Linked DNA regions of Mus musculus: regions 2, 3, 4, 5, 6 and 7 are each reported to be linked to region 1. Evidence: microRNA targets listed by miRTarBase, many of them from high-throughput screens and not tested one by one. Region 1 holds a microRNA gene; each other region holds the end of a gene's coding sequence.
The links. The annotated mature microRNA mmu-miR-24-3p reads UGGCUCAGUUCAGCAGGAACAG and lies in region 1 at 1,809-1,830, shown strand. An mRNA with a match to its seed (bases 2 to 7 or 8) in the 3' UTR can be bound and repressed. Matches are read on the target gene's strand: a 7mer-m8 pairs with bases 2 to 8, a 7mer-A1 pairs with bases 2 to 7 and ends in A, and an 8mer does both.

Region 2: miRTarBase lists Mdh1 as a target of mmu-miR-24-3p. The part of its 3' UTR that is shown has no 7-base or 8-base seed match.
Region 3: miRTarBase lists Phf24 as a target of mmu-miR-24-3p. The part of its 3' UTR that is shown has no 7-base or 8-base seed match.
Region 4: miRTarBase lists Nucks1 as a target of mmu-miR-24-3p. Seed matches in the 3' UTR shown: 7mer-m8 at 2,020-2,026.
Region 5: the mRNA of Neu3 is a reported target of mmu-miR-24-3p. Seed matches in the 3' UTR shown: 7mer-A1 at 828-834 and 8mer at 896-903.
Region 6: the mRNA of Gria3 is a reported target of mmu-miR-24-3p. The part of its 3' UTR that is shown has no 7-base or 8-base seed match.
Region 7: the mRNA of Nsrp1 is a reported target of mmu-miR-24-3p. Seed matches in the 3' UTR shown: 7mer-A1 at 1,286-1,292 and 8mer at 1,354-1,361.

The regions. Positions count from the first base shown.
Region 1 is chr13:63,299,443-63,303,509 of GRCm38, forward strand. It overlaps Mir24-1 (microRNA 24-1), which reads left to right and starts at 1,766; the gene lies at 1,766-1,833. Aopep (aminopeptidase O) reads left to right here. Exons shown (of 16, transcript NM_001289926.1): 16 at 1-3,435. It overlaps Mir23b (microRNA 23b), which reads left to right and starts at 1,042; the gene lies at 1,042-1,115. It overlaps Mir27b (microRNA 27b), which reads left to right and starts at 1,270; the gene lies at 1,270-1,342. It also overlaps Mir3074-1 and a transcript of Fancc not described here.
Region 2 is chr11:21,553,795-21,557,861 of GRCm38, forward strand. Mdh1 (malate dehydrogenase 1, NAD (soluble)) reads right to left here. Exons shown (of 9, transcript NM_008618.3): 9 at 2,898-3,774. The coding sequence ends at 3,649. Among named protein-coding and RNA genes, the nearest start is that of Mdh1, 16 kb to the right of the region's middle.
Region 3 is chr4:42,939,298-42,943,364 of GRCm38, reverse strand. Phf24 (PHD finger protein 24) reads right to left here. Exons shown (of 9, transcript NM_001346526.1): 9 at 1-3,860. The coding sequence ends at 3,764. Among named protein-coding and RNA genes, the nearest start is that of Dnajb5, 8.5 kb to the left of the region's middle.
Region 4 is chr1:131,930,558-131,934,624 of GRCm38, forward strand. It overlaps Nucks1 (nuclear casein kinase and cyclin-dependent kinase substrate 1), which reads left to right. Exons shown (of 7, transcript NM_175294.3): 7 at 477-4,067. The coding sequence ends at 649. Among named protein-coding and RNA genes, the nearest start is that of Nucks1, 22 kb to the left of the region's middle.
Region 5 is chr7:99,809,544-99,813,610 of GRCm38, reverse strand. Neu3 (neuraminidase 3) reads left to right here. Exons shown (of 3, transcript NM_016720.2): 3 at 1-2,172. The coding sequence ends at 353. Among named protein-coding and RNA genes, the nearest start is that of Neu3, 17 kb to the left of the region's middle.
Region 6 is chrX:41,671,749-41,675,815 of GRCm38, reverse strand. Gria3 (glutamate receptor, ionotropic, AMPA3 (alpha 3)) reads right to left here. Exons shown (of 16, transcript NM_016886.5): 15 at 3,350-3,597. The coding sequence ends at 3,352. Among named protein-coding and RNA genes, the nearest start is that of Thoc2, 240 kb to the left of the region's middle.
Region 7 is chr11:77,042,014-77,046,080 of GRCm38, reverse strand. It overlaps Nsrp1 (nuclear speckle regulatory protein 1), which reads left to right. Exons shown (of 7, transcript NM_001012309.2): 7 at 1-1,789. The coding sequence ends at 341. Among named protein-coding and RNA genes, the nearest start is that of Gm22772, 8.9 kb to the left of the region's middle.

The DNA of each region.
Region 1 (4,067 bases):
TTTCATAGTCGCCAGTCATCATCTCTACATCATCCCAGGACATTATCGCTTGCCATGGTGGTACATATGATGTTTACTTTTGTATATGTTTGAAATTTTACATCAATCACTGTGTTACTCTGTTGTTCTCTATGATTACCAATTAATGAATATTTAGAATTGTGTTGCTAATCTTAACCCATTGTCAGACATTAAATTTACATTTTCACATTTCACTTTTATAAAACCCACTTCTGTGTAATGTTTATTTTTCTGAAGAACTACACTGATGAAGGGAAAACATGTTACTATGTATGACCATGTTGTTGCAGAAGAGCTGGGGACCGCCACAGTCAAGCAGGGGAGATAGTGGGCTGGAGTAAGCAGGTACAGCCTGCTAAGCCTGCACACTACAAGCTAGGACGGTGGCCTGTGTGGATAGACAGAGTCGGTCGGGGCGCCTCTTCACTGCCTCCTGCAGACATTTCTCTAGAAACTTGTAAGCTGAGGGATTGTTGGTATGTGGTGTGTGAAGGTCACACAGTAAAGCCACTGTTCCCTTTTTAGGTCCCTAGGCCTTCACTTAGGAAAGCCATAGTCACATAGTGGTCCTAGTGACTCTTCTAAGAGTATTTTTGCCCCCTGAGTGAGCAAATCCTCAACTTGCTAGGTCCCCTATGAGCTCTGTGCTATGCCTCAGCTTATCCAACCAAATGCTTGGTCACAGGCAAGCCAGAGAGATGCTCCCTCCCTACACACCACACCTGCTGTCTGAGGGGCCCAGAGACATCCCAACCCATTCAGTCTGCAATTGGAGAACAGGGTGTGTCCCAGGGTTAAAGGCCACATACTCAGAGCAAGGATGGTCCCTAAGGTATTGGTCTCATAGCTGATAAGTGTGTCCTTTGTCTCCCAGTCCCCTATGCTCCTCTATACAGTGCAGCCAGCGCGCTGAAGGACAGCAGGCTGCACTGCTAGCGTGGTGGGCTCAGAGGCGGTTTGGAGGACACTCAGCACATGTGGATGGGAGTGGTTGGGCATGGTGCTGCCCTCACCTGCTCTGGCTGCTTGGGTTCCTGGCATGCTGATTTGTGACTTGAGATTAAAATCACATTGCCAGGGATTACCACGCAACCATGACCTTGGCTGCTCCTGCAGAACCGTGGCTACTTTCTCTCTGCAGTTTGGAGAACAGAGGCGCCTTGTGGCTCTTTGGAAACAAAAGAAGCCAACAGCCTTCGAAGATGCTCACCAGCCCTTTAATTATGGCCGGCGATGACCTCTCTAACAAGGTGCAGAGCTTAGCTGATTGGTGAACAGTGATTGGTTTCCGCTTTGTTCACAGTGGCTAAGTTCTGCACCTGAAGAGAAGGTGAGATGGGGACAGTTAACTTGCAGCTGCCAGGCAGAGGCCACTGCCTGGTGGTCACTCCAGAGGAGGAGAGACCAGCCTGCCTCAAGGCTGTGTTGTCAAGAGTGCAAACAGCGTGCTGACCACCCTTAAGTGTGTCTACAGAAAATACAGTTCTACTGCTAATTAGTTCACTGTAATGTCAAGTGTATTGGGAGTCACAGAAAACTAAACCCAGGTGCATCAAGGAAACTGAGCCAACCTTGTCTCAGCTGATGCCACACGTGATGGGTGGGGGTGTGGTTCTTTGTCCCTGCTGGGCGTGGTGAACTCTTTCTTGTATTTGCAGTCCAGGTCTCCATGTCTCCACAGTCGCTGGCAAGATGATGCCCAGGGCACGCCAGGAGGCACTGCCCAGCTGTGATTGGACCCGCCCTCCGGTGCCTACTGAGCTGATATCAGTTCTCATTTCACACACTGGCTCAGTTCAGCAGGAACAGGAGTCGAGCCCTTGAGCAAAAAGCCTACCCATCTGTAAGTGCCTGAGGCAGGCCTCCCACGGAGAAGAAGATGAAGGGCCTGAGTGTCTGGTACCAGACCCAACAGCAGTGGTATCCCTCTGTATGTGCTCCCGAGGTGGGGATTTGTAGAGTGCAGAGCTAACCTTGGAAAGTTTGCATTCCCTAGAAGCAGGTAGGGCAGGCGCTGAGCATTTGCCACGTGTTGGGGCAGAGCACACCATGTCACCGCTGCCTTGAGCAGTGAGAATGCCTGTCTGAAGGGCCTTGTCTGTAGAGCCTTTCTGAACCTCTCTGGGCTTCACAGCCCTGCATGGCCTGTGCCGTGACTGTGCACCCCAGACCCAGGATTGTGAGGTGTGGCTTCAGTGTTGCCCCTGTCCTCCCATGAAAAGTTCCCTCTCAAGTGGAGGTCAGAGGCTGGGAGGACTCCTGTTGGAATGGCTGTGGTGACTGGGTAATAAATTTTATTGCTGTTTCCTCCACAGGACAGATCACAGTGAGATTCTCATATACCTTCTCCTAGCCCTGGTGGGGCCAGGACTGCACTGACCCTGGACATCAAAGGGAGGATTATGTGGCTGCTAAGGCCATCAGCCCACAGCAGTGGTTGGTCCATCTTGGGCTTCCAGAGACTGGGCTCCCGTGGCATATATAAAAGGCGGAGCCTCATAAACTGTTGCACCTGGCAGCTGCCTTTGTTCCCAGTCCTAGAGAGACTGAGTCTACACACTGGAATTGAGCTGTGACTTTAAGGCAGTCATTCAATGAAGGACACCCTCCCCTAGGCAGATGGAGAGCCGGTTGCCTGCTTCCTGTGATTGCAAAAACTAGCTGCCATGCTCTGAGACTGCAGAATCATGTGACACCTCCTGTGGCTGGTCCCCAAGGATTCTGCAAAGCCCTTTTGATGTGTTCAGTCAACAGAGCATTCCTGTTTTTGAAAATGCAGGAAAGCCTAAAATGTCTTAATAAAGTACCAGATTTGCTAGTGTTCCAGTTTGCTTCTGAATTTGATGCTCCTTAAAAGCAAAGAAGAACGTGTGTCAGAACAGGCACTTTCCACACACTTCCTACCTCCAGGTAATGTTAATTCTAAAAAGGTTGGAAGTAAAGGGAAATTAGTGTGGCTTGGGACTCTGCTCTCTTCCAAATGTGGAGTTTCAGCCAGCCTGGTACTAGCGGAGTCTCAGAACAAGCTCTAAGCTCTTTCAGTCACTGTCTAGAGAACGGTGCTTGAGACTGAGCCATCAGTGCAGTCACATGAGCCCAGCCAAGGCAGAGCGGTGGACAGAGGAACCAGAAGGAGCATCCCACTGGCTGGCCAGGCTTCTGCACCCAGACCTGCTGGGTGACAAAGGCTCTAGGACAGACTGAGAGGAGCGTCCGCACAGAACCATTGGTTTTCAGAGCCTGGGCTGTAGCAGTGACTGCATTTGGATGGTTGCAGGGGACTTGCAAATGGTTATCTGCTTTGTATACCACAATGGTACAAGTATCAAAGTGTGTTAATTCTACTTAATGTTACCCTGATTTCTGTGAAGACTTGAAATAAATGGCTGAGTCTATGCCTTCCTGCTCTCAGAAGCACTCTGGCCTTGCTTAGAGGTGGACTAAGAACCACACACCCTGTAAGGCCCCTCTGAGAACCTCAGTGGCCCATACCTCCTCTGAACTGGAGAGAGCAGCCAAGCACTGGTTTAGTCTGGTTTTGTTCTTTGTTCTTAGGAACCACTAAAGCAAAACAAAGCTGTCGCCTAAGGTGGGTTTTGTTCAGGGATCAAGTCCCTTGTCCCCATGGGTCACTGAGCCCTGTGCCTGGCTGTGTCTGGCTTGGGTTCTTGCCAATGGGTTTCAGGTAAGTGGAGATCTCACTGGAACCAGATGCCCATTTCACAGCTTTGGTGAAGGATCTGTGGTAGAGCTGTCCTTTGCCACCTCTGGCTGGGTGCAGAGCAAGCCTATCCTCCCCTCTCCTCTAGTCCCCCACCCCAACAAGTTAGGCAGCAGCTCCTGCCACCCATAGCTGCACCAGAGGCCCATGAGGCTGTGGAAGCAGGCTTCCCTCATCTGGCTGAGACCTCTGGAGTCAAGAAAGTGCAGTCTCCATTCTTCCGTGAGCCACCTGACTTCACAGGACACAGAACATTGCAAACGTTAACTTGTCAAATAGGATGCGAAGCAGGGTCTGAGGGCGGAAGAATGGATGTCTAGGGAGG
Region 2 (4,067 bases), not on the chromosome of region 1:
CTATGTTCACAGATGAATTTATAATTATTCCCTCAAGAAAGTGAGGAACTTCTAATTCTTCAGATTTGACCTTAAAAAACCAACTCCTCAGGACACCCCCCCACACCCCCCTCCCAGAGAGAGAGAGAGAGAGAGAGAGAGAGAGAGAGAGAGAGAGAGAGAGAGAGAGTGAACCAGTACTGTCTAAATGGATCCTCACCCCCATTATTTTCTTCAAAGAACTTAGTTGACCACTAGGTTCCCCCAACACAAAGCTAAGCTGTTATCAGACAACATCTGAGGCCCTCAGAAAAGGTTTCCTCACTTCTGAAACCTGCCTACTTGGTGTTTCCAATATATTCAAAGGGCCCAGATTTATGACTTTTTTTGTTTTGTCTTTACGAAAACTTCATGAAATTGTTGCCATTTTAGAACATGGAATTTGGAGTAACCTAAATCTGTATTCCCTTGCAATCGTTACTCTTATTTGGTTCCAAAATAAGTGATCTCATTCCCTTTGAGACGAGAGCTGTTTCTTATATAAATAACCCTAACAGTACCAACTCTATCTGCACATAAAATCATCGCTCATCTAGATCTCATGAGGAATGAGTTTTAACACCCCCATATACTCAGTGAGTGACTATAGTTACTGTTTGAACTTTTGTTCACTATTAACATGTAATACTTGTGTTTCTTTCTGGGGGCTATCCATGCCTGCTAGATACCCTTTGCTGAGGTGGTGGGGGATTCCATTTTCTACTCCTGTGGAACAATTAGGAGTTTGGGAAGATGAGCACCTAGGTTTCTTGCTTCAGGACAGACACTCCTAATTTATAGAAAAATGGAACCATGCAATATAAAAACTGTGTATAAATAGTCCTTGTAAGGTTTATTTACCTTATATGTATGAATGCTTTGCCTGCATGCATGTATGCGTATCACATGCACTATTAGATCCCTTGGACCTGGGGTTATAGATAGTACTGAACCACCTTTAAGGGTGCTGGGAATTGAACCCAGGTCCTCTGCAAGAACAAGTGCTCTTAACTGCTGAGCCATTTCTCTACTATATGTATTATAAATTATTTGTTGTTGAGATCAGGCTATGCCCTAGTCTAAGTCACTCCCTACTATTTAAAGCAGTGATTTCTTAAGCCAGGCACTGCCCCATGAGACTTTCTTTCACAAGTGCTTTTGACACCATATGAAGATGGAAGATAACTCAGTTGGGTGGACACATGAATGGGCACCATCTATCCAGAAACACAGCAGACTGATTCCTGGGAAAGGGGTCCAGCCCATGCATTTATTGGGGTAGATGGGGGCTTGAGATAGCACATGGGGGTGTTAAAACTGTGTCACAGAATCCATGGCCAAGAACAACCATTTCAGACTAAGGAGATGGAGCATCTCTCACCTGAGTCACATGAAGAGCTGATCACCTGTATCACTGTTATCACTGTATCCACTCTAGTCTGTTACTTGAGCACCCTGTACTTAACAGATAGGCAGAGAACTGTCCTGGGGGCTTCAGGTTGTCTCCATCCCTGCTGTTGAAACAGCATGCTGCTAAATTGTTGACTGCTGTCCTGTTTGCTTCTCTGGACCTGCTGTCCATCTGTTTGTCTGTCCCTTCATCTGGACCCACTAAAACCTGGAGAGGTGCTTCATTCACCAAGAGACAGCATAGAAAGGCAGAGATAGAGAGCCATGAAAGAATGACAAGAGATGTGGGGGAAGTCAGTCTTCAAAGAAATCCCATGAACAAACCTGGCTTTTGTACATTTTCAGAGCTGGGAATGATTTAGTTTCAGATAGCATACATGACAAAAATAAACAAATAAATAAAAAAACGGGGGTGAGGGAATCCAGGTATAGAGCTCTTATCTGCAGCATAGACAAATCCCTTAACCCTACCACAGAGAGTTCATGGTAAAGATGAGATGGTCTGATTTCTTCAATTTTTTTTGTTTCTGTTTTTTTGTTTTTGGTTTTTGGTTTTTTGAGAGAGGGTTTCTTTGTGTAGCCCTGGATGTCCTGAAACTCACTTTGTAGACCAGGCTGGCCTTGAACTCAGAAATCTGCCTGACTCTGCCTCCCAAGTGCTGGGATTAAAGGCATGTGCCACCACGCCCAGCTGATTTCTTCAATTTTTAAGATTTGATTTCTGAGTGTGATCACTGTCTTCACGGTGTAAACTGTAATGTAACTATTATTAAGATTAGAGTAAAATACACGTTTTCCTTGGTGGAGGTGGGGGTTGGGGTGGGTGGATCAGGGATAGCTGGGTTATTTGGGCAAATTGCTGTCGATGAAACTGTCATGCTTTCTCAATTTATTGTTCTTCAATAAATGTGACACTGAGGAAAGATCAAGTGTTCATCTGCTTCTGACGCTGCACCTCCCACACCTCTAGTGCCATTTTGTATTTTCAAAACAAGAGATAGTTGGGAAATGAAATGTGAAAGAAATATAGCATGCAGAGTCTTGAGTTCCTGTGTTACAGGAGCAAGGATGTTATGGGGATTGAGAACTTATCTGGCACTCATGCAAAATTTTATTAACTTATATACAATTTTGGCTTTATGCTTCTCACTAATAAAAGTCCTGAAGGTAGCTTTTTTTTTTTTTTTTTTTTTTTTTTTTCCTAATGGTAGTTTTAAACTCTTGCTTTTTTCTTTTCCAGATCCTATCAGAGCTGGTGAAATAGGTCATCTTATTATTAAGAAAAACAATTTTTAAAGACAGGGTTTCACGAATCCTATATTGGCCATGAAGTCACTATGTAGCCTAGGATGACTCTGGCTTTTGCCTTTCCTGAGTGCTGGGATTACAGGCACGCACCACTATGCTTAGTTCTGAGTGGTGTTGAGGATTGAATGCAGGGTTTTGTGAGGTATAGGCAAACACTGTATGCACTTTAATATAGATAATATTTACTAATACAGGTAAACAGCAAATCTAACCAACAAGTATTTGAATATCCACAAAGCAAATTACAGCCAGCTTTGAGATTATGGTTATTTATTGCACTGAGTAATGCACAAAACACACAAAGATGATGCATGTCTTCTCATGGAAAACAGACTGACTCAAAAACAGTTTTATGTTTCTAATAATCTTAGCTTACAAATATTAATAGTGTGGTATTATTGGCTATCAAATATTAATGACTTCATTATTCTGCTATAGAATATAAAGAAGATAGATTATCTGCAACCTTCTTACAGCTAATTTTAAAATCAAATTATGAGCAAAACATGAACCAACCTTTAAGGACTTAAGTAATGGGATCCCTCTGAAATTGATTGGGCTTCCTTGTTTATGTTAGAGACTAATGCTTTACTTCATAATATTTTCCATCTTTATTTCTTTTAGTCAATTAAAAAAGTAAAATTATAATCTATTGGGCAAACTTGTTTTCCTGAAGATACTAAATATAAAGTAGAAACAGAGTCTGAGAGATTTTCACTTGAATATACTTTTATTTAGATTGCAGCACTAACAACATGATAGACTTTCACAAATCATAAAGCACACACTATTTAAAATATTTTGCTGTTCACAATTTGAATGTAGCATTATTACTGTTTGGTACTAGGCTCAAAGACGACATTTTGATTCCTCAGCCTTCGGCTGTCTGCTGATGTCAAAACGAGTGTCTAGTCACGCAGAGGAGAGAAACTCAAAAGCGGTCTCCTTTTCCTCGGTCAGCTCCTTTGCTGTCAGGTCCATCTTTTCACGGGAGAAGTCATTAATGGGGAGGCCTTCAACAAACTTCCAGGTCTTATTCTGTCAGGGGACAAGGGCGAGAGCTTCAGCTGAAGTGACAGTGGCTTTTCAGCGGGGACCAGCAGGGATAGCCTAGCTTAGAATGGTAACTCAAAGCACACCTGTTTTAAAGCCTGACTCTAAATTGGAGTCCACTTTAAAAAAATCATCCTCAGGATGGAATCCAGCCAGGGTCTCCTGCATACTAGGGACGAGCTCTTCCAGAACGCAGGGCCTATACACACTAGCAGCCCTTCCGTGGGGGGAGTGAGTCTGCCCTGGATGAACAGGCACCATGACACCACCATGACACC
Region 3 (4,067 bases), not on the chromosome of region 1:
TTGGCCTTTTAGAGCCAAGTACAGAATAGTCACGTGTCACATAGTGACATTTCAACCAACAACAGATGGCATGCACAATGGTGGTCCCATAAGTTATATTGCCTACTAATGTGGTAGCTGTTTGGTTTGTGTAAGAGCACTCTTCGATGCTTGTACTACGAAGATGCTGACGAGTGATACGGTTTTTGGAATGGATTTCCAGAATGGAAACGGGTCTCTTAATCATCAGTCCAGACAAGACTTGCCCCTATTTTCCACGCTCTGGGCCATGAATGACTCTACATACTTGTGTCTCTCTGAATACATATGCGGTGCACAACTGTGTCTGTGCCTTTACTCTGCTGGTTGGAAGGAGACGTGGACTACCAGAGCCTGCTGCCAGTTCAAGTTTTGTGCCTTAAGGTTGCTTGCTTTTGCCTCTTGGGGAGTCACGGCTGGATGGGCCCCTACTAGACAGTTTCTGTTGATCCTTTCTCTTCGCCTTACTGATTTATGCACTTTGGGAAGCCGTGATGCCTGCAATGATTATTGTGCTTTGGACTAAGGCATGGGACAACCCTGGCACCCACTTCCCAGTGGAGTGCCCTCTTCCCAGGCAGTTGAATTCTGTGCTTTCTGTTTTGGTGATAGGAATGGGGGAACTCCAAGACTTGGCCACTTAAACAAGGTCCAGGTGACCTCCCTTAGGAAGCACTAGGTCCAGAAAGGCAAGTGTTTACCCTGCCAGCCCATTGCTTGGGCTGGGGCTAGAAAGAGGCAATGTATTCATGGCTTCTGCTGCAGCTTTCCTCAAAGGAAGAGCACTTGAGTTGAATCAGTACCTAGGAATAAGGAAACTGCTTCATCCCTGGATACCATAGGGGCTGCTGCTCAAATGTCTTGTGGGGGAAGGAGGCCAAGGGACAGACCCGGAGAGGTTATGCAGTGCTGAGCCGCTCTCAGCGGCTCTGTCCCTGCAGCTCTGCTGTGGCATCCTGATGTTCCCTTAGTTAATCTGAATATAAGGATGAGAACTTCTGGATGAGAACCAGGCCTGGGGGAAGTGGTCTTCAGAGAAGTATATATGCAACCCAAGCCTCTATTGGTTGGAGCTCAGGATGGGCGGTGTTGAGAAAAGCATTGATCTTAACTTTCAGCAGCCAAGATGGGAAAGACTGAAACATTTCTCAGACCCTCATCAGAGCCAGACATTAACCTTTGCACTTGGCAGAATTTTAGACAGTCACAGTGATAGAAAGGCTTGGAAAGGGAATGAGTCTTACTAGGTTGATGACAGTGTACCTCTATAAACACTGAGCCCACACCAAAGAGAGATTATGGACATAGGGCTGGGGCGGGCTTCTGTAACAACGGACTAGGGAGCAATGGGCCCTCCTTTTGGAACAACACTGGATGCTTATGGAGAAAAGGTCAGCTGTCCTGTGCCATCCTGGGTAAAGAGGTGATCCCAGATAGGCCTGGTCCTGTTGAGGATGAGCTGCGGGGCTGGCTCTGCACAGTCCGATTCAGCCTGTGGGCTTCTGCCATTCAACCGTACAGAAGCAACAAACAGCTGCTCCAAGGTGGTAAGCATCGTCTTGGTCTGTAGAGGACCATGGAACAGAAGAGATGGACTCCCAGTGTCCACAGCTGGGGAGTGGCAGACAAGCACTGTCCAATTCCCAAAGCCCAGAGATGAATTATCTCTGTGCGGTTCAGCAGCCCACAGCCACAGAGAGAGAGAAAGATGACTCATCGGGAGAGCGAGCAAGAGCCCCTGAATTTAGCATGCTTTAATCTTCTCAATGGAAAACCCCAGGGCTGGCTGCTACAGATGCAGTCCTTGAGCCCAGCAGGTTTGTGCTTTGTTTTCGACTCGATTCAATAATGGGCCATCTTACTGATCAGTCCTGGGAACATGGCCGAGTCATTTTCATTGTTGTTATTGAGACCAAGTCTCACTTGTGTAATCCTGGCTGGCCTAGAACTTGCTATTTAGACCAGTCTGGCCTTCAACTCATAGAGATCCACCTGCCTCTGTCCCTCAAGGGCTGGGATTAAGGGTATGTACCACCATGCCCAGCTTTAAGTAATAGTTTTTAAAAGCTGTGGGTTTCAAAATGAACCCACATGTATCTCCTGCCTGCTTCATTTCAGTCCTAAATAATCTGTCTCCAGCAGTATACTACCCTGCTTCTAGGTAAGGCAGGTCCTACAGAAGGAGAGCATGCAGGGTTCTTAGCAAGGCTTGGCTGGAGGTGCCCATGGCATCTGAGCCTCTCAACACTGAGCAGCATGCTCCTTCTCCTGAAACCATCCACTTTAGTACAAGTGCTTTCAGCAGTGGAGACAATGCAAGCTTTCTGCGGGACTTTGCTCAGTTCTCTCATGAAGAACTAGTTGTCAGAACTGCCCATACCCAAGTCATCTGGTTGAAAACAGAAATCCAGAACCTGGATCCCTAGGTCTTAGGGCTGACCCACACCATGTTCTGACTCCAGAGCTTCAGAACTGGGTGATGGGTTACACAAAGCCTGGAGGCCAAGCTTGCTACACCCATGGCGTTCGTTCTCCACTTGTCCACAAGGTCCTCTCAGGTGAGGGGAAGACACGGAGTGAGCATCAGGGAGAAGCAGCGACTGGGGAGACGGGAGAAGGACACACTGTCCCCCTTCTGACGCTGACTAGGACTTCTTGACAGTTGAGATACAAATCTTCTCGAGCCTTTGTTGTCTCTTCTTAAAAAGCACAACTGCGTAGGCATTCTGCAGAGCTCCTCTGGCTATGTAAGAGGGTGGCTTGCCCTCCATATGATGCCACAGTTCTATGTCTGTGGCTGAGTTGGGCTGGAAAGTAGGAAAAGCCCGGGCTTTCTTTTCTGCATCCTCATCGGCCTCTGAGGCCGCCACCTAGGCTAAAGCACCTCACACACAGTGATTCCTGCCAGTGTATCTGTTCTTCTTGGGTCCCTAGAGCTTTGGACCACTTGAAGACTAGGGACCAGGGGTCTCATCTTGGTTTTCCTGTTCTGCTAAGGACTTGTGAAGTTGGATGACCTGGCTGAAAAGTTCCTAGACTTCTGGCTCTCTGGGAGAGACTGTCTCCACTTTCTCCAGGCAGAAATCCACAAACTAGGTTCCTTCTCTATCACAAGGAATCAGAATTTAAACACAAACTTCGGGATGGTTTTGAACTGTTCTCCCACCATGGCATACCTGAGGGACATACAGACACTCACAAATAACAGTGGTCATCACCGAAGGGCGTTTCCATGTGGGCAGGGGGGCCTCTCGGCATCTCCTGGAGGGGAAGTGAATTTAAATTGTCCCCTTCTTTCTCCTGGGAATCAGAACTGACCAATAAAAAGAGTGAGAAGAGACCCTCTTATCTAAACCAGGGGGGCTCAACAAAAGGCTTTTGGTCCTTTTTCATCAAAGAAAGAACCAAAGGAGTTTGAAGGCATGGATGTCTAGGCATGTATGTGGTTGTATGCGCATGTGCACACACGTATGCGTGAGGTGGCAGGTAGTTTTATGATGTGCGGGCAGGAGGTGATCCATAGCAGGTAATGCCACAGCTCTTGGGGCCTCTCACTATGGCAATACTGCCTCGGTTGTGAGGGGAACGGTGGCTTCAGTGCCATAAAGCTTAATGACAAATTAAGATGTTGGCAGTGTCCCATTCCCATGAGTCTCAGTGCCAGAGGTTGGTAAAGGAAAAAGAAAGGAAAGAGAGAGAGAGAGAGAGGATGCCACCGTCCCAGAACTGAGCTTCTCTGTCCCACCTATCCTGGGGGCTTCAGGTGGATCGCTCCGCTGTTAGGACGAGCAGCCAAGATGTAGATGACGTTCTCTCTTAGGAAGGTGGGCCAATCCACGTATCTGCAGAGGGAGAGAACAGGTTTGCAAGGCGGGGCACAGATGCGGAAGGCCCAGAAGGCCCAATCCCAGTGGCAGCTTGCCTTGGACTGGACAAAACTCAGTGGGGCTTGCCTCATGACTAATACAGTTAGGGTCGGCTCTGCTAAAAAGCTAGCAAACCAGTTGTTTTTGCCCTGGAGACCTGGGGTCAAATGTGTCTGGAGCCTG
Region 4 (4,067 bases), not on the chromosome of region 1:
TCAGGAAGCCTTGGCTGCTTCTGGGGACAGTAGTCCTAGCAGCTGGGGAAGGCTTTCCGTTCTCATCTTCTGTTCTGTCAGGATACTGATAGCAGAAACCAAACTACCTTTGAGAGTAAAGATTTATCTCCTGGGTCTTCAAAGCTTTTGCCAGGTATTTTCCTGGTTCAAGCTAATTTATTAAATCAGAAGTCTAGATTTGCTTAGAGTTTCATTCTGGCAAATATAATTAATATGTTTCTTGTTAAAAAGTTTTACTCATCTCGCCATATTTTAGAGCTTCCAAACCTGTTTGATAGTTGTAGTTTCTGCTCAGAATGTGACCTAATCCTCACTAGGAGTAATGCGCCTTTTCGTGTGTTTCCTTCTTAGTGAGATGGGATAAATTTTTATACTTACAGACTTTTGGTTTTGTAAATGATTTTTTTAAAAGGCATTTTTTTCTGTTCCCCAAATTGTTACTTTCCATATTTCAGTGACGCCAAGTCCAGTGAAAGGCAAAGCGAAAGTGGGTCGCCCCACAGCTTCGAAGAAATCAAAGGAAAAAACTCCTTCTCCCAAAGAAGAGGATGAGGAAGCAGAAAGCCCTCCAGAAAAGAAGTCCGGAGACGAAGGGTCCGAGGATGAAGCCTCATCTGGGGAAGATTAAAAGTGATGTTTAGGGAGAGGTTTTATTAAAAACAAAGGAAACCTCTGTAGGACACGGTTTGGGCTGTGGCTTGACTCATGGGCTTTCAGTGCTATTTCATTTGTCTAGAATAATGTTTTTCTCTCTATCATATATCTCTTTCCCTCTTAAAACCATTGGGTTTTTTGTTTGTTTGGGTTTTTTTTTTGTTTGTTTGTTTGGTTTTTGTTGTTGTTGGGTTTTTTTGGTTTTTTTTTTTTTTCAAGATAGGGTTTCTCTGTGTAGCCCTGGCTGTCCTGGAACTCACTTTGTAGACCAGGCTGGCCTCGAACTCAGAAATCTGCCTGCCTCTGCCTCCCGAGCTCTGGGATTAAAGGGGTGCACCACCACCGCCTGGCTCTTAAAACCATTGTATGCTTACGTGTTTAAGTTGCCATTTTGTCTCAGTCTTTTCTTTGCCAATCCCCTCCCCCCACGAAAGCCATGTCAATCAATCACTGGAGTGACTGTTTGATTTTCGAGTTGTCAATGGAGGGAAGGAATGCCATGGCTGCAAAGCAATAAGATTTCAGGTGGACGCTATGGAAACTGCTTCTTGCTAGAGAACAGCAACTTGAACAATAATCAAAAACAAAAAACTAGAAAGGTTTTAATTAAATATTTGTTCTTTCTTTTCCTGTACTTTTGACAGACCAGTTGTCACTTAACATGAGTTTATATGTCTGAACTGTAAGTGTCAAAAAGAATCATGACTCTAAATTAGTACTAGTGAGGCAGTTGGGGTGAACATGAATTCTGGATTAACTCAGCACTCACATTATTTCCTTGGGTGTGGAGGGAATGGTGTTCCTGGAACTTAGTGGATTTGTTATTCTCAAAGAGATTCAGAGCCAGTGCTTCTTTTGTCTTGATAACGGTCTTTTTTCTTTTTTTTTTTTTAAGTAGGCCACCAGAATCAGTCTTAATTTCATATTTTATTCATGTTTTCATTGATTCAAGTTTTTAAAATACTTCCTGTTTTTGGGTAGTTTCACCAATGATCCAAAATTAAAAAGAGATTTCTTTGAATTTCGATGATGAATTTACCCCTCACAGTGCATTTCTTCACAGGCTGACAATGTTAAAAGTTTTAAGCAAATAAAGTTTGAGTTAGTGTGAAGCTCAGATATAAAAGATTGAGATTTATCCTTTATGAATACAAATAATTGAAATGAGGGCCCATGAACCATGCCACAGTTGTTTCCTTTCGATATTTAAATCTTTCCTCCATAGTAACATGATAATGACATAATCTCACAACCTCCTCCTGCTGCTTCCATACTGTGGAGTTGTTTGCTTCTTAGTTGGTCTGACCCCTCCTTTCTGTTTATGCTTCTTTTTAAAGCAAGAGCCTGAGCCTCAATGGGATGAATGAACTGTATTTTATTTAGGGTGCCTCTGTGCCATTGATAACAGTCTAGATACCTTAGCAAAGCATCAAGATCAGGTTTGATCCTCCACATTCAGGTCCCACTCGCCAATAGAAGAAAAGATTAGGGGTCCTATTATGCTATTAAAAATTTAGTGGAGTAATTTCTGTATATTTTTCTGCACTTAAGCTAAATTTGCTTCCTCAGTATTCTGCCTTTGTGTTTTTTAAGTGACATGTTTGTCTCAGACAGTGTCATTTTCTTATAGGTGTTCATAGGACAAAGGGTTATTTAAGAAATATTTTTACTCTGGTTTTTAAGACACTTTAAAGAACATTCTTAGATCTGCTTTAAAATAAATAAATGAATAAATAAAGCACCTAGTAGCAGAGAGTTATTTCAACCCTGCACTGCTAATAAATGAGTATTAACATGGCCAAAAATAGAAACTTGAACATAAGCAGTTGGATTATTGTATTCTGTAATGGGATATAAGGTTGTGAGCTATGTAGTTGGTATTACAGATTATTCTATTTGCTGTGGTGGGCTTGCTCAGGAACCCGTCCTTAAAGAAAGAAGAGACTCACCATTTCCACCAGGCATCTCTCCCTTTTAGGGGTTTATAACTCAGTCTTACATTCCTAGTGACATTTAGGCTTTTCTTAGGTTATGTTTCATGAAAAGTTGTGGGTAGGGTCTCTTTCAACTTTAGGCCTCAATTTTTTAACAATCTCTTTAATAATCTGCACTAACATCTCTGATTTTATCTACCTATAATTGAGAAATAATACTATCTTCTACGTTACTTGTGTAAAAGGTGTGTCTGATTGGACTTGTTTAGAATTCCTTTTAAAACTAACTCATTAGATTGAAGGTATATTTTCTAATTACAGTTCAGTTGGGTTAATGGTGTCTCAAATGAGCACACAGGCTTTAAGTGACCTTTGTTTTCACTTTTTTTTTTAGTGGTTTATAACACTCTGGTCTTCCCTTCAAATCGTGTATGCAAACAGGAACACATTTAATGTGACTCAACTGGAAACCGGTGCTCAGCAGTTAGGTGTAACAATGATATGAGGGTGTGCCCCTCAGTTCATAATGACTGGCCCTTGGCACCTCTATGGCTTACTCTCCTTCCTCTTTTCCTCTGTCTTTTTCTTTCTGGTGTGCCTATAGTGAAGTGGCAATGTATTCAACTGTCTTACTTTGCAGTGCTCAGGAATGGGATGCTCATTTGAAGGTGCTTGTCTGTTACTGATGCTCAGCTAGGTTTACCTCTTTAGTAGATGCAGCAGTTGAGCTAACACTACATTCTAGTTCTCTAGGCTCTGGTTAAAGCCTTTGTCTCCCCCTGTCAGAAATGGTAGCCTCTGTGTTGCCCAGTGGTAAGTTACTGCTGCTTTTAACCGTCCACCACTGATGGGGTTTTGGAGAGAGGACCCAAAGGGTGTATTTACATATCTGCTGAAAAACTTAACTGCTTTCAGTACCTCCCTCTCCATATTAACCTTACAAAGGAAAACTAATGGTAGCATGAATATTTCTTTTTTTCTAGGGTAGCCAGAGAATCTCCACAGACACCTTACCAAAACCCCAGTATTTTGTGTACCCCAGGCTGGCCTCAAACTCCTGTTTTGTTTTGTTTTTTTCAAAACAACTGATTTTTTTTTTCCTGTCTTCAATGCTTATATATGGTACTAGTTCAGATAGCATTTTCTTCCACATAAAAATCAGTGGAATTTGAGGTTATAATCTAGAAGGACTTACAGTCAGCTGATCTTGACCTTTTTTGAGCCTGGTTTCACTTTGTAGTGTGTCTGGGAGTTTTTTTCCCCCCACCCCTCACTCACACTGCTGGGATTAATGCCACCATGTCAGGTGACACTTTTTAAATGAGCTTTTATTTTTATGTCCAGGAACATGTGGGTTAGAGAGGGAAATAGTGTAAACAAAACTCAGGTTTAGGGGCCCCTGCCAGAGCAGACTTGAAGAAACAGAAAGCTTTGTTGCTGCTGTGAATCCGTGCCTCT
Region 5 (4,067 bases), not on the chromosome of region 1:
CCGCTACTCAGAAGTGCCCTCTGCTGGACAGTCCTCTGGAGGTGGAGAAAGGAGCTGAAACACCATCAGCAACATGGCTCTTGTACTCACATCCAACTAGCAAGAGGAAGAGGATTAACCTAGGCATCTACTACAACCGGAACCCCTTGGAGGTGAACTGCTGGTCCCGCCCGTGGATCTTGAACCGTGGGCCCAGTGGCTACTCTGATCTGGCTGTTGTGGAAGAACAGGACTTGGTGGCGTGTTTGTTTGAGTGTGGGGAGAAGAATGAGTATGAGCGGATTGACTTCTGTCTGTTTTCAGACCATGAGGTCCTGAGCTGTGAAGACTGTACCAGCCCTAGTAGCGACTAAAGCCAAATCAAGACGGATGAGTGAGGCCCAGCTTCCCACAGAAAGGAATGGCAGCTACAGCCAGGGTAACAGAGGTCTCTGATGTCTAGAGAAAACTCTAAAAACTAATAATCTGCTCCTTGAATTTTTTCACTTTTCCCTTCAATGAGCATGGTGAAAATTGTGCCATATCTTACATAACGAGGCTCTTGAACTGGGAGTTTGAATCTCTTCTCTTCCCATTAAAAGGAGAGGCCATGTGCTCGCTTCGCGTTCGACAAAGCCTGGATTCTGATCTTGAGTGGAAGCCACAGGCTTGTCTTTTCCAATGGTTCACTGCTCACCTGAGTATTAGGTGATGTGTAGGTGCCTTGGCCAGAAGAAAGATCTGTGTTGTTGTATTTTTTTAAATTTATTTATTTACTATATGTAAGTACACTGCAGCTGTCTTCAGACACACCAGAAGAGGGCGTCAGATCTCATTAGAGATGGTTGTGAGCCACCATGTGGTTGCTGGGATTTGAACTCAGGACCTTCAGAAGAGCAGTCAGTGCTCTTAACTACTGAGCCATCTCTCAAGCCCCGCATTGCTGTATTTTTAATAAGAAAAATGCCCTTATCCTTCCAATAATGCCTGGAGCTGTACAAATTCTCTGTCTTAGAAGACTTGAGAAAGCAGAACTGTAAGGTCAGATGCTTTCTCCAGCCTTGATGCTGTGTTCCACCTTCCCTTCCTCATCCAGAAAACAGTTACTAGGGAGAAAATGAGAAACCCATGCCAGCTGCCCTTGATGATGGTTGATAACGGTGCTTATTGCTTTTGATGTCATTACCTCTGTTAGAGATGAATCAGAGTCAGAGGTCCTTAGCTGCATCCACCCATTTCCAGGGGGACATTCTAACACTGCTGAACAGTCAGCTAAAATGAGAGCTGTGTGTCCTAGCCTGATTCCAGGTTAGTCATGATGCTTCCTGGAGCTGGGCTTTTATCTAATCCCAGGAGCCATCTAGGGGAGGCTCAGAGCTAGCAGGTGATCTTCCTGAGATGGTTTCACCGTGACAGGTGAACCATGAGCCCTTCCAAGCAAGGCCAAAGGACAACATTATAGGAAAGATTTCTAGTATTAATATGCCTTTTCTCTGTGTGTGTACTGTCTTGTAGTGATGCTATATAGACAAATAGATGATTTCTTATTTTTTGTTTGTTTGTTTGTTTTTTTGTTTTTCTGTAGCCCTAGCTGTCCTGGAACTCACTTTGTAAACCAGGCTGGCCTCGATCTCAGAAATCCGCCTGCCTCTGCCTCCCGAGTGCTGGGATTAAAGGTGTGCACCACCACACCTTAATGATGATCCTATAAGTATTCCTAAAATTATACTAGTAATTATTAACTCCTTTATAATAGGACTGCTATTAAAGCCCTCGCTGATATGAAAACTACAGTGAGAACTCTGCCAGTCTTCACATGTCATAATTACTTCTGAGATAGAAAGCAGGCATTTACAACTTAGAACACATTTCTTAGAGCTGTAAAACAATTAACTAGAGGTCATAAAAGGGAATGAAAGATTTATTGTAGGTGCTAGGACAGAACATAAAATATTGACTGGGCTTATCTATATGAAACTTCATTGTTAACTTTTACACAAGAATTATGGTTTTTAACTTTCAGTGAACCTGCGGAGCTAGTGACAGAAGAGAAATGTCTAGTTAGATAACTACTCTTAATGGAAATTCACATAAACATCTGTTGCCATCTTCTTTTTGAATTTATGTTTAAACTTGTGAATGTTTGAATTAGACACTACGCGAGCACATAGAAAATAAAGAACTAAGCGTGAACAGCTTGGAGTGAGTTAGATAGTTTCAATAGTTTTCCCTCCATTTTTCTTTTCTCTTGGAAATAAGGATTAGAACCCCTTTTTAAAGTGTCTCCTTTCTTTTTCTTCCAAAAAGTGACTTTCCCTAGCTGACAAGGAGTTAAACCCTCAGCTTTAGGTGCTCAGCCTGTGGAGAAAAGAACAAGGACCTCTTTTAAGTGACAGGTGTCAACTTGCCAAGAGACCTGCAACTTTTAGCCTCAAGAGTAACTTAAAGTCAAAATTGGTAAATGTTATTATAGAAAGCACACAATCTCTCACAAGACCAATTCTTGTCCCCCACCCCGACACCCCACCCTTCCATCCCCAACCCCACCCCATCACACCACCACACCCCATCACCACACCGATGCTCTTTGCTCTCTATCCTCAGCTACCTCCCAAAGAGAACCAGAGCTCAGAGCTGATCTCCATCCACCTAGGTTGGGCCTGGTCTTACAGTGTAAGATGTCCCAAGCCTAAAGCCAAGCTGTGACATGTGGGGTTCTCATTTTACCAGTATTTCCCTTTTGTCCCTGGTTGGATTCTCCATGACTGCTACTCCTCCATGACTCCAAGGGAGATGCTGAGCTCATAATGTTCTGAGTGTGTCTTACCTGACTCTGTGATGCCAGACACATCACTGTATTCATAAACACTGCCATCACTTAGAGCAATAGTTCTCAACGTGTGGGTTATGACTGCTTTCACAGAGGTCACCTAAGACCATCAGAAAATAAAATTCATAACAGTAGCAAAATTACAGTTATGTAGTAGCAACAAAATTATTTTATGGCTGGGGGGTCACCACAACGTGAGGAACTATATTAAGGGGTTGTAGCATTAGGATGGTTGAGAATTGCTGACTTAGAAAAATTAAATATGCTTAAAGGTCTTCATTCCATTGATTAATGATTTTTTTTTCCCCCCGAGGCAGGTTTTCTCTGTATAGCTCTGGCTGTCCTGGAACAAACTTTGTTGACCAGGCTGGCTTCGAAGTCAGAAATCCGCCTGCCTCTGCCTCCCAAGTGCTGGGATTAAAGGCGTGTGCCACCACCGCCCAGCTCGATTAACGATTTTTTTTTGAAACAGGGTTTCTTTGTGTAGGCCTGGCTGTCCTGGAACTTGCTCTGTAAGCCAAGCTGGCCTCGAACCCACAGAGATCCACCTGGCTCTGTCTGGATGCTAGGATTAAAGGCAGGCACCACCACCACCCAGTAATTCTTGATCTTGACTGCTAAGGAAACTGAAATGGTCATTTTCTTAATATCTATTAATAGTTCATAGTCAACATTTTTCAAAAAGTAAATTTGAGCCAACTTATTCTTTTCAGAGAACTCTTTAGAAAACGTTAATACTCTTTTGTAGTTTCATACAAGGTTGTTTAATCAGCGAGAGGGAAACAGAGCCAGGACTACTGTGGCTGGTTTGTGAGCAAGAGATACCCATGAGCATGTATGTGAAGAGCCTGGCCATGCAGTGACCACTGACTGCAGCTCCAGGTCTGGCCACTGCATATCTTACTGTGTTTTCAAAAGACTGAATTACTGTCAAACTGGCTGAAGAGTCCCGGTGTTCCAGTAAGAAGGTGATGCCTTTAAGTTCACTGCTGATGTTAAAGCATGCATGCCAGTGAGCTGTTTAGCTGCTGCTGGGCTTCACCAACTAATTCAGTAGGACTCCTTAAATTCTCTCAGCGAGTCTGTGTGCTCTCTGAAATTCACTTTAGGAAAGGCTTCGAGTAAGCTTAGCAATTTTCATAATACTGAGATGTTCCCAAGGACAAAAGTAACGTCCAGAGAATACTAGTTTACCTTTTCAGTAGTTTTATAATAATTGTTTACATAATCATTTAAAGCAAGAAATCTGATGTCTTCT
Region 6 (4,067 bases), not on the chromosome of region 1:
CACAGGGAGTTTAAAGGGATAGCACATTCTAGAAAACAGGCAAAAGCAGTGATACCCATGAAACAGCTTGGCATCTATAGGTGCTTTGCCTTGAAATTAGGGGCCCGATTGAGAGGGTGCTGATAATGCCCTCGTTTTCATGGCCTCGACTAGATGCAGGGGATTCTTTGCTCCTGAGTCTGTCTCCTGTTGGCTCACATCCTTTCTCAGCCACCTTTCCCTGTACACTAACAGAACATTCATGTTTTCTCTTGAGTGAACCCTGAAGCTAGGTTGAATGAATGACATCATTATCTACCTCTGGTCCTAGAATTAACATATGTATGAGAATGCAAAGAGCCAAAAGATTAACATGAAAGTAGGAAAAGCTCTTCTTTGGTACTCCCCCAGATCCAGAGTCTCTCTCTCTCTCTCTCTCTCTCTCTCTCTCTCTCTCTCTCTCTCTCTCTCTCTCTCTCCCTTGCCCTCTCCCTCTCTCCCTCTCCCCCCCTCTCTCCTTCTCTTCCTCTTCTCTTTCCCTCCCCTCCCCTCCCACCTCTCTTCTTCTCTGTCTCTTTCTCTCCTTCCCTCCATCCTTCCATCCTTTCCTTCCTTGCTTTCTTTCTTTCTTCTTGCCAATGGGATAGCCTTATCTGGCCCCATAACTCTAAGAAAGTGACTTGACTTCTCAGTGACTGTTTCCTGCTCTTAAATGGTAGGAAGGGAAACAGCACTGGTACTCAGATAAAAGCTCTCTGAGGAAAAAGAACTTCACCCTCTCAGTTATTCAAAAAAATTTTCTTCACTTGACATAAAATTAGTTTTTGTTTCTTCTTCAAGATCCCTTAAGCTGGAAAAAACTCTCCAGCAGGAATGTCTATGCAAGTTGGACCTGATGGCTCACATCTATGATCTCACTATTCAAGCTGAGACAGGGGGATTTCTGTGGGTTTTAGCTCATTCTAGGTTATTAGGTAAGCTCCTGTCTCAACCTTTCACCCACTCAAAGAATACCTACATATACGCTATTTAAGGAATCTTGATACCTTGGAAAATAACAGTATTTCATAGGATGGAATAGTATAGACCTAGAGGAAAAATGGAACTTTCTCGAAATTACAGGCTTGTTGTGTCCTTGCATATGAGATGGATTTCAAAAACATTCCTGAAGAAGCCAAAGAAGCTAACTGTAGTTTTCAATACACACACACACACACACACACACACACACACACACACACATATATGTACATATATACATATGTGTGTGTGTGTGTGTGTGTGTGTGTGTGTGTGTGTGTGTGTGTCTGTATGGAGTATATGGAGTGCAGTGCATAAGAAGTACGGCATGGAGGGTCTACAAACTTTTTCAAGATGGTTTTTAATAATATATGTTAATTATTTTTGTACATGTTTTGTCTGCGTGAATATAAGTGCACCACATATATGCAGTGCTCATGGAGGCAGAAGAGGGCATTGACTCCCCTGCAACTGGAGTTACAGTTGGTTGTGAGCTGCCATGTGGGTGCTGGGAACTGAACACTGGTCCTCTGCAAGAGCAACAAGTGCTCTAAACTATTGAGTCATCCGATGGCCTGCATGGACAGCTGTGTAATAAACTAATCATCTCTTGTCAAATTGACAAAATCTAACTAAGGGTTCAAATTTCCTGAAGACTATCAGGCTATAGATGGAGAAGTCAGGAAGAGGTAAGTCTGGTTTAGTAAAGAGGAAGAAAGGCTTCACTTTACACTTGAATCTGCCACTACCTAGTTGAATAGCTTTAGACAAGCCACTTGTTGTATCTGAGTTTTAGGTACCAGAGGGGAAATACTGCCTGATCGATTTTTATTACAACCCAGGGAATAGATGTGACAGAACATGGAAAACTGCTATATATTCTTAAGGCGTACTAAATAGTTGGACTTCAACTCCTTGGGGTTTGCAGTAATTATGCTAGATTGAAATTGTTCCTGTACTGTCCTACAAAAAAAAAAAAAAAAAAAAAAAAAAAAGCAAATGATATGCCCCCAACTGAATTATATCATCAACTCAAAGCACTAGCACATGAGAACATTAACTGATTACATGCTAATAGTGCTAATGACAGATGAACTTATGGGTTGAACATTCACTAGTGGGAACAATTTGTTAACAGGTTAGTTCATTGTACGGAGTGTGTAGTAGCTGAAGGCTGCAGTCTACAGGACAACAGGACAACGAGCAACTTCTTCAAGTAAGATCATGTTTTCCATGGTAATAACAAATGATTTGTTTGGATAAAATGTTTAAAAATTAACTAAATTTAGATTTATTAGGTTATATATAAGAAGGTCAACATATAGAAATTGGAATATATTGACATTTACTGGTAGGGTTAAAGTTAGCCAGCTAAAATAAGGTATAGGAAGTTGCTAATTGTTATGTTCTACTTTTGATAGGCACATCAGTAAGGCAAATGTACTTGGAAGGTGGTAAGACTTTATCCTTTTATATACTTGTAGAATGGAAGCATTATTTGAATCCATGCTTGCCTTTAAATTTAGATGCATTATTGGTAGTCAGGTTTTCCTAAGTATTAATTTTGATTTGGTCACCAGCAAGTAACCTAGACCCTTACTTACCTGAGCACCATCAGTTCCAAGGAAGGGATAACAAAGGGACTCAAAATTAAGAAATTTGTTTCATGCTTCCACTGCTTAATTAAAACAACCACTACTTCTTCATGGAAGGACTTCCCTACATGAGGTGGCAGGACCTTGCTTCTTTTTCCTAGTTTAAACCTCAGTTCCAGAATATCTGATTTCTCTAGAATTATACTGTCTAACATGGCAGCCATGGGCACATGTGACTACTAAATATTTGGCATGTTGCTAGTATCACTTGGGTATTCCCTAAGTATAGAAGCACCCCAAATTTCAAAGATTAGTATAAATAAAAGAACATAAAACATCTCATTCATTTTCAATATTATTGTGTAAGTGACAAATCGAAATATTTTGGGTATCTTGACTTCAATGAAATGCATGATTAAGATTAACTGCATTTCTTTTATTTTTAACTCTGTAACTAACAGTTAAATGTTATTCATGTGGGTCACACGTGTCACTCACATATATTTGCATTGAATAATACTGCTTAAGAATGTATTTTTTCCTTTCATGTCACAGACCATAACTTAATTCCAGTTATGCTTTTAGAAAAGCACCAACCACTGACACGAGAACACAATCATTGTTTAAAGATAACTAACTAGTAGCAAAGAGGCAATGCTAGAATCCAACCAAAGTAAGAAACAGGAAAGAATAACAACAAAAAGGTTAACACACACAAACGTAAGGCTGATTAGTTTACTAGACCTTAACCGTACCCCTAGATCTTAACACTTTCTGTTCCATACACGTTGTAGCCTTCTCTGTATGTAGCGTAATTCTGAGTGTTGGTGGCAGGAGCAGGCTTAAAGTTTTGGGTGTTCTTTGTGAGTTTCATGCGTTTGGACTCTGCCCGTGATTTGTAACAGAATTCTATCAAAGCCACCATCATGGCCAGCCCCAGACCTCCGACAAGTATATAGAACACGCCTGCCACATTGCTCAGGCTTAGAGCACTGGTCTTGTCCTAAGAAAAATGAACAAGGCGATTAGTTCTTGAGGAAAACAAAGGCAAGAGGACATCATAACACATCACAACAGCATAGGGCAATTCTAAGTTGTAAAATAACTAAACATTTGTGTAAGTGTTAGGACTCAACTCTGGCAACTGGCTTAGGTTTCACAATGACCAGCAAGATGGTACATTGTGCTTCCGTTGACTGTTTTGAATCTCACACCTCAATGTCCGTTTTTTTTTTTTTTCATTCTTAGTATCTTCAAATGTTTAATAGTGTTCAGCCACCAAAATAAGACATCATTTGTCCAGGGGAACAAAGAGTAAACACAAGCAGAATGTATCCCTCTGCCAGCCCAAACACAAACCATTTCCCAGAGTTGAGCTGTGACATATTCTCTACAAATGGAACATTTTTTTTCTTTTGGGAACTGAAGCACTCTTTCCCCTCTCTGCCCCACAGTACCCCTTTCTCCCTTGTT
Region 7 (4,067 bases), not on the chromosome of region 1:
GGCAGTCTTCAGAAAGACATCGAGACAGAAGGGAAAGCAGCCCACGGTCTAGACCAAAGGACGACCTTGATCAGGAAAGATCCAGCAAAGCAAGAAACACGGAGAAGGACAAAGGGGAACAAGGGAAGCCCTCTCATTCTGAAACATCACTAGCAACAAAACACAGACTGGCAGAGGAAAGGCCAGAGAAGGGCAGTGAGCAAGAGAGGCCCCCTGAGGCTGTGAGCAAGTTTGCAAAACGGAGCAATGAGGAAACTGTGATGTCAGCTAGAGACAGGTATTTGGCCAGACAGATGGCGCGGATAAACGCAAAGACTTATATTGAGAAAGAAGATGACTAAGGACTGCCCATATCTGGAGTCCCTTGCAAGCGTAGAGCATTGTAACTCTTGAACTTGGTTTAAGAAAGCATACAACTGTTCATAGAACAGCGACTGGAGAGTATTTTTTAAAATATATTTTCAAAATTTGTTAAATCAAAAGTCAGTTCTTTGAGCTTCAGTGCTTGTGAGGTTTTTCCTAATGTATAGCACTTTCTTGGTTTTACTCAAGAGTCAAAGGTGTTAAATCTTGTAGATTCTCTGTGAGGAAAATTGGCTTCATGTTATAATGTTAATAAATAGCTTGTACAAATGTTGCTTTTGAGTTTTTTTGGTTTTGTGTTAACTATTACCTGGGTGGATGTTTTGCCTACATGTAAGTCAGTGCACCGGGTGGCTGCCTAGTACCCACAGAGAAGGCCAGAAGAAAGCACTGGATCCCGGGAACTGAAGTCATAGATGGCTGTGAACCGCCTTGTAGGTGCTAGGAATTAAACCTGGGTCCTCCGTATGGGCAGCCAGTGCTCTTAACCATCTCTCAGGCTCTGAGGAGATTTTGGTTGTTGTTGTTGTTGTTTGTTTTTTATTATGTTCTGCTTCTGGTGGGGTGGGGTGGGGATTGTTGTTATGCTCTGTTGCCCAGGCTGTTCTAGAAATCCTGTGCTCAAGTGATCCTTGTGTCTCAGCCCCTCAAGTGCTAGAACTGTAGGCAGTGACCAGCCCTAGGCCCAATTTGTCTCTTGTTACAGAAACTGTTTTGTAGATACTTCCTTTGAGTTAAAATATATACATTTTGGAAATAGAGAAAATTGTTTTATGTTCTGAAATCCCTGTTAAAATGTAACATAGAGATAGATCATGTGTGGTTTTTTTTTTTTTTAAAGATTTATTTATTATGTGTAAGTAAACTGTAGCTGTCTTCAGACACTGCAGAAGAGGGCTTCAGATCTTATTACGGATGGTTGTGAGCCACCATGTGGTTGCTGAGATTTGAACTCAGAACCTTTGGAGGAGTAGTCAGTGCGCTTAACCACTGAGCCATCTCCCCAGCCCTAGATCATGCATGTTTAAACTTTTTGCTCCACAGCATACTTGGCTTAAATAAAAATAAAGATAGTAATATGCTACTGCATTTAATTCAACATTTACTTAACTATAAAGGTGATTTCCAGGGTAGGGACAAAGCTCAGTAGTAGAGCTCTTGCCTGGCATGCACAAGGTCCTGGAGTTGATGTCCAAGATTGAAAAAAAGCAATCATTTCATTCATGTTCAATTCTGGGTTTTATTTAGAAGACATCACTTTTTTTTTGTAAGTTTGTATTTTGCAAATTACTAAATTGGTGTGTAACTAAATCTGTCAGCTGAGAATGAAAAAAAAAAGTTTTATATACTCCAGCAAGGAGACTGAAGCTTGTTAAAACTATCTCTATGTTCAAATAAAACTAGTTTCTGAACTAAGTCATTGGAACCTGACATCCTGTAAATTTATTCATGGGTAAAGGAAGGATAACTACTAGGGAGAAAGTTGTTCTCTGGCAAGTTTTCCCATCACAAAAAGACAATTTATCTCACTATACTTTACCACAAAGAGTTTATCATTTTAGGAAAATAAGCTTGGTTGTGTATGTTGAAGTAGATAAAAACTACTATATATTAAATGTCATGTTTAATGTTTATTATTATATCCTTAGATCCAAAGAGGAGACATAACAGAGTGAATATCTAGATTCCTGCGTGACTTAGGGAAATTTATGCAGATCCTGGATAACCCCTGGAAAGTACTGGTTACACAGGGGAAGCAGCATAGCTGTGGGACAGTGAGACTGAGAGTGGAGCAGAGAGAGAGAGAGAGAGAGAGAGAGAGAGAGAGAGAGAGAGAGAGAGCGAGCACACACTGTTCCTTAGGATTATTCCCTATGCTTGGAAAAGTCAATTTGATTATGTTGTGCAAGGAGGGAGAGATTATATCAAAGAGATCAGATAAACTTATTTCCCCTCTCCCAGAAATTCAAATGCTTCCACAAAACAGATCAGATACTTTGTATAGGAAAAGATACTGATTGCTTAGGTGGCATAGGTTTGTTTTTTTTTTTCTGTCAACTTTTATTCTGTTTGCCTTAGAGCAATTCTACTAGAAGTTCTACTTATAAAAGTCCCTCTGTAATTATGTTGAAGGTTATGCAGCCACACAGTGAAGACAGCCTTTTCTCTGTGGTCTGTCTCACAGTTTCATGTAGATGAGCCAGAATACATTGAAAAGCCAGTAGTTACTGCAGCAAAATCAAGTAGAACAATCACCAGGATAAGAAATCTACTGAATTTCTGTAAACATTTTTGCCATGAACAAAATAGGTATAATATTGGAAGCCAGAAGAGGACATCAGATCCTCTGAGACTGGAGTCACAGATGGCTGTGTATGGCCGCATGGGGTGATGGGAACTGAACCTAGGTCCTCAGGAGGGGCCTGGTACTGTCCCATGGAGACAAGATTATGCTTGTGTCTTTTCAGAAAAAGGATAAAGTCCCAGGTGGCTCCTGATACATATATTTATGTTTTTATATTCCACTTAGACCTTTATAAACCATCCTTAGCATGGCAAAACACTAGCATGCTGTCTCCAAGTGTGCCCTTTATCCCCATTGACAAAAGGCATTTGCATTCTGCAATAACAAGAATTAACATGCAATGCAGTCACTAACAATACAGGCGCTGGAGAGATGGCTTATTGGTTAAGAGCGCTCACTGGACCCTGACATGCAGCCTCATTTCCAGAGCATTTTTTCCCCCTTACTTCTGCCTCCACCTGTTGCTTTCATTGTCCTTTGCTTTGAGAACTGACCTGGCTAGTTCTATGTCAAGTTGACACACTAGAGTCATCAGAGAGGAGGGAGCCTTAACTGAGAAAATGCCTCCATAAGATCAGGCTGTAGGGAGGTCTGTGGGGCATTTTCTTAATTAATGATTGATGGGGAAGGCCCAGGCCATTGTGGGTGGTGCCATCCCTGGGCTGAAGGTCCTGGGTTCTGTAAGAAAGCAGGCTGAGCAAGCCATGAGAAACAAGCCAGTAGACAGCATTCTTGCGTGGCTTCTGCATAGGCTCCTAGCTCTAGGATCCTACTCTGTTTGAGTTCCTGCCCTGACTTCCTTCAATGAACAGTAGTGTGGAAGTGTAAGTCAAACCCTTTCCTACCCAAGTTGCTTTGACCATGGTGTTTCATTGCAGCAGTAGTGAAGGTCCCCACAGACAGCAGGGTGCTCCCTCCCAGACCCAGAATTGGGTACAAACCACACCCAAACACCTGTTTTCACAGAGGTATCATTTTTTTACGTGGGAAAGAAAAGTTAAGATGACTGCTTTCTGATTTTGGCAGAGAATAGCAGCAAATGACCCTGTAGGTGTGATTTTTAAGAGGTAAAAAGGGGAGGCCCATGTTAGAATGGGCTAGGATTCAGTGATATGTTCTCATTAGGCATGTTAATTAGGGTAGCCAAGGGGGCTTTTGATTGCTGGGTTTCAGCACTTTGATAGCTGAACCTGGATGATCAGCTTTAGGAATGAGTCTGGCATGGGAAAGTGGCCATGTAAGGAAACAGACCTTGTTGGCCAACTTCAGAGATATAATCTGTAGTTTAGGAACAGAGAGGGAACCAGGAAGAAAGAGCAAGGCCTGCCAGTGCCATGTTTGCCATGCGTGGGCCTGCTAAAGCCCTTCAATTAGTAACGCTAAGACAAGTTGCTACCAG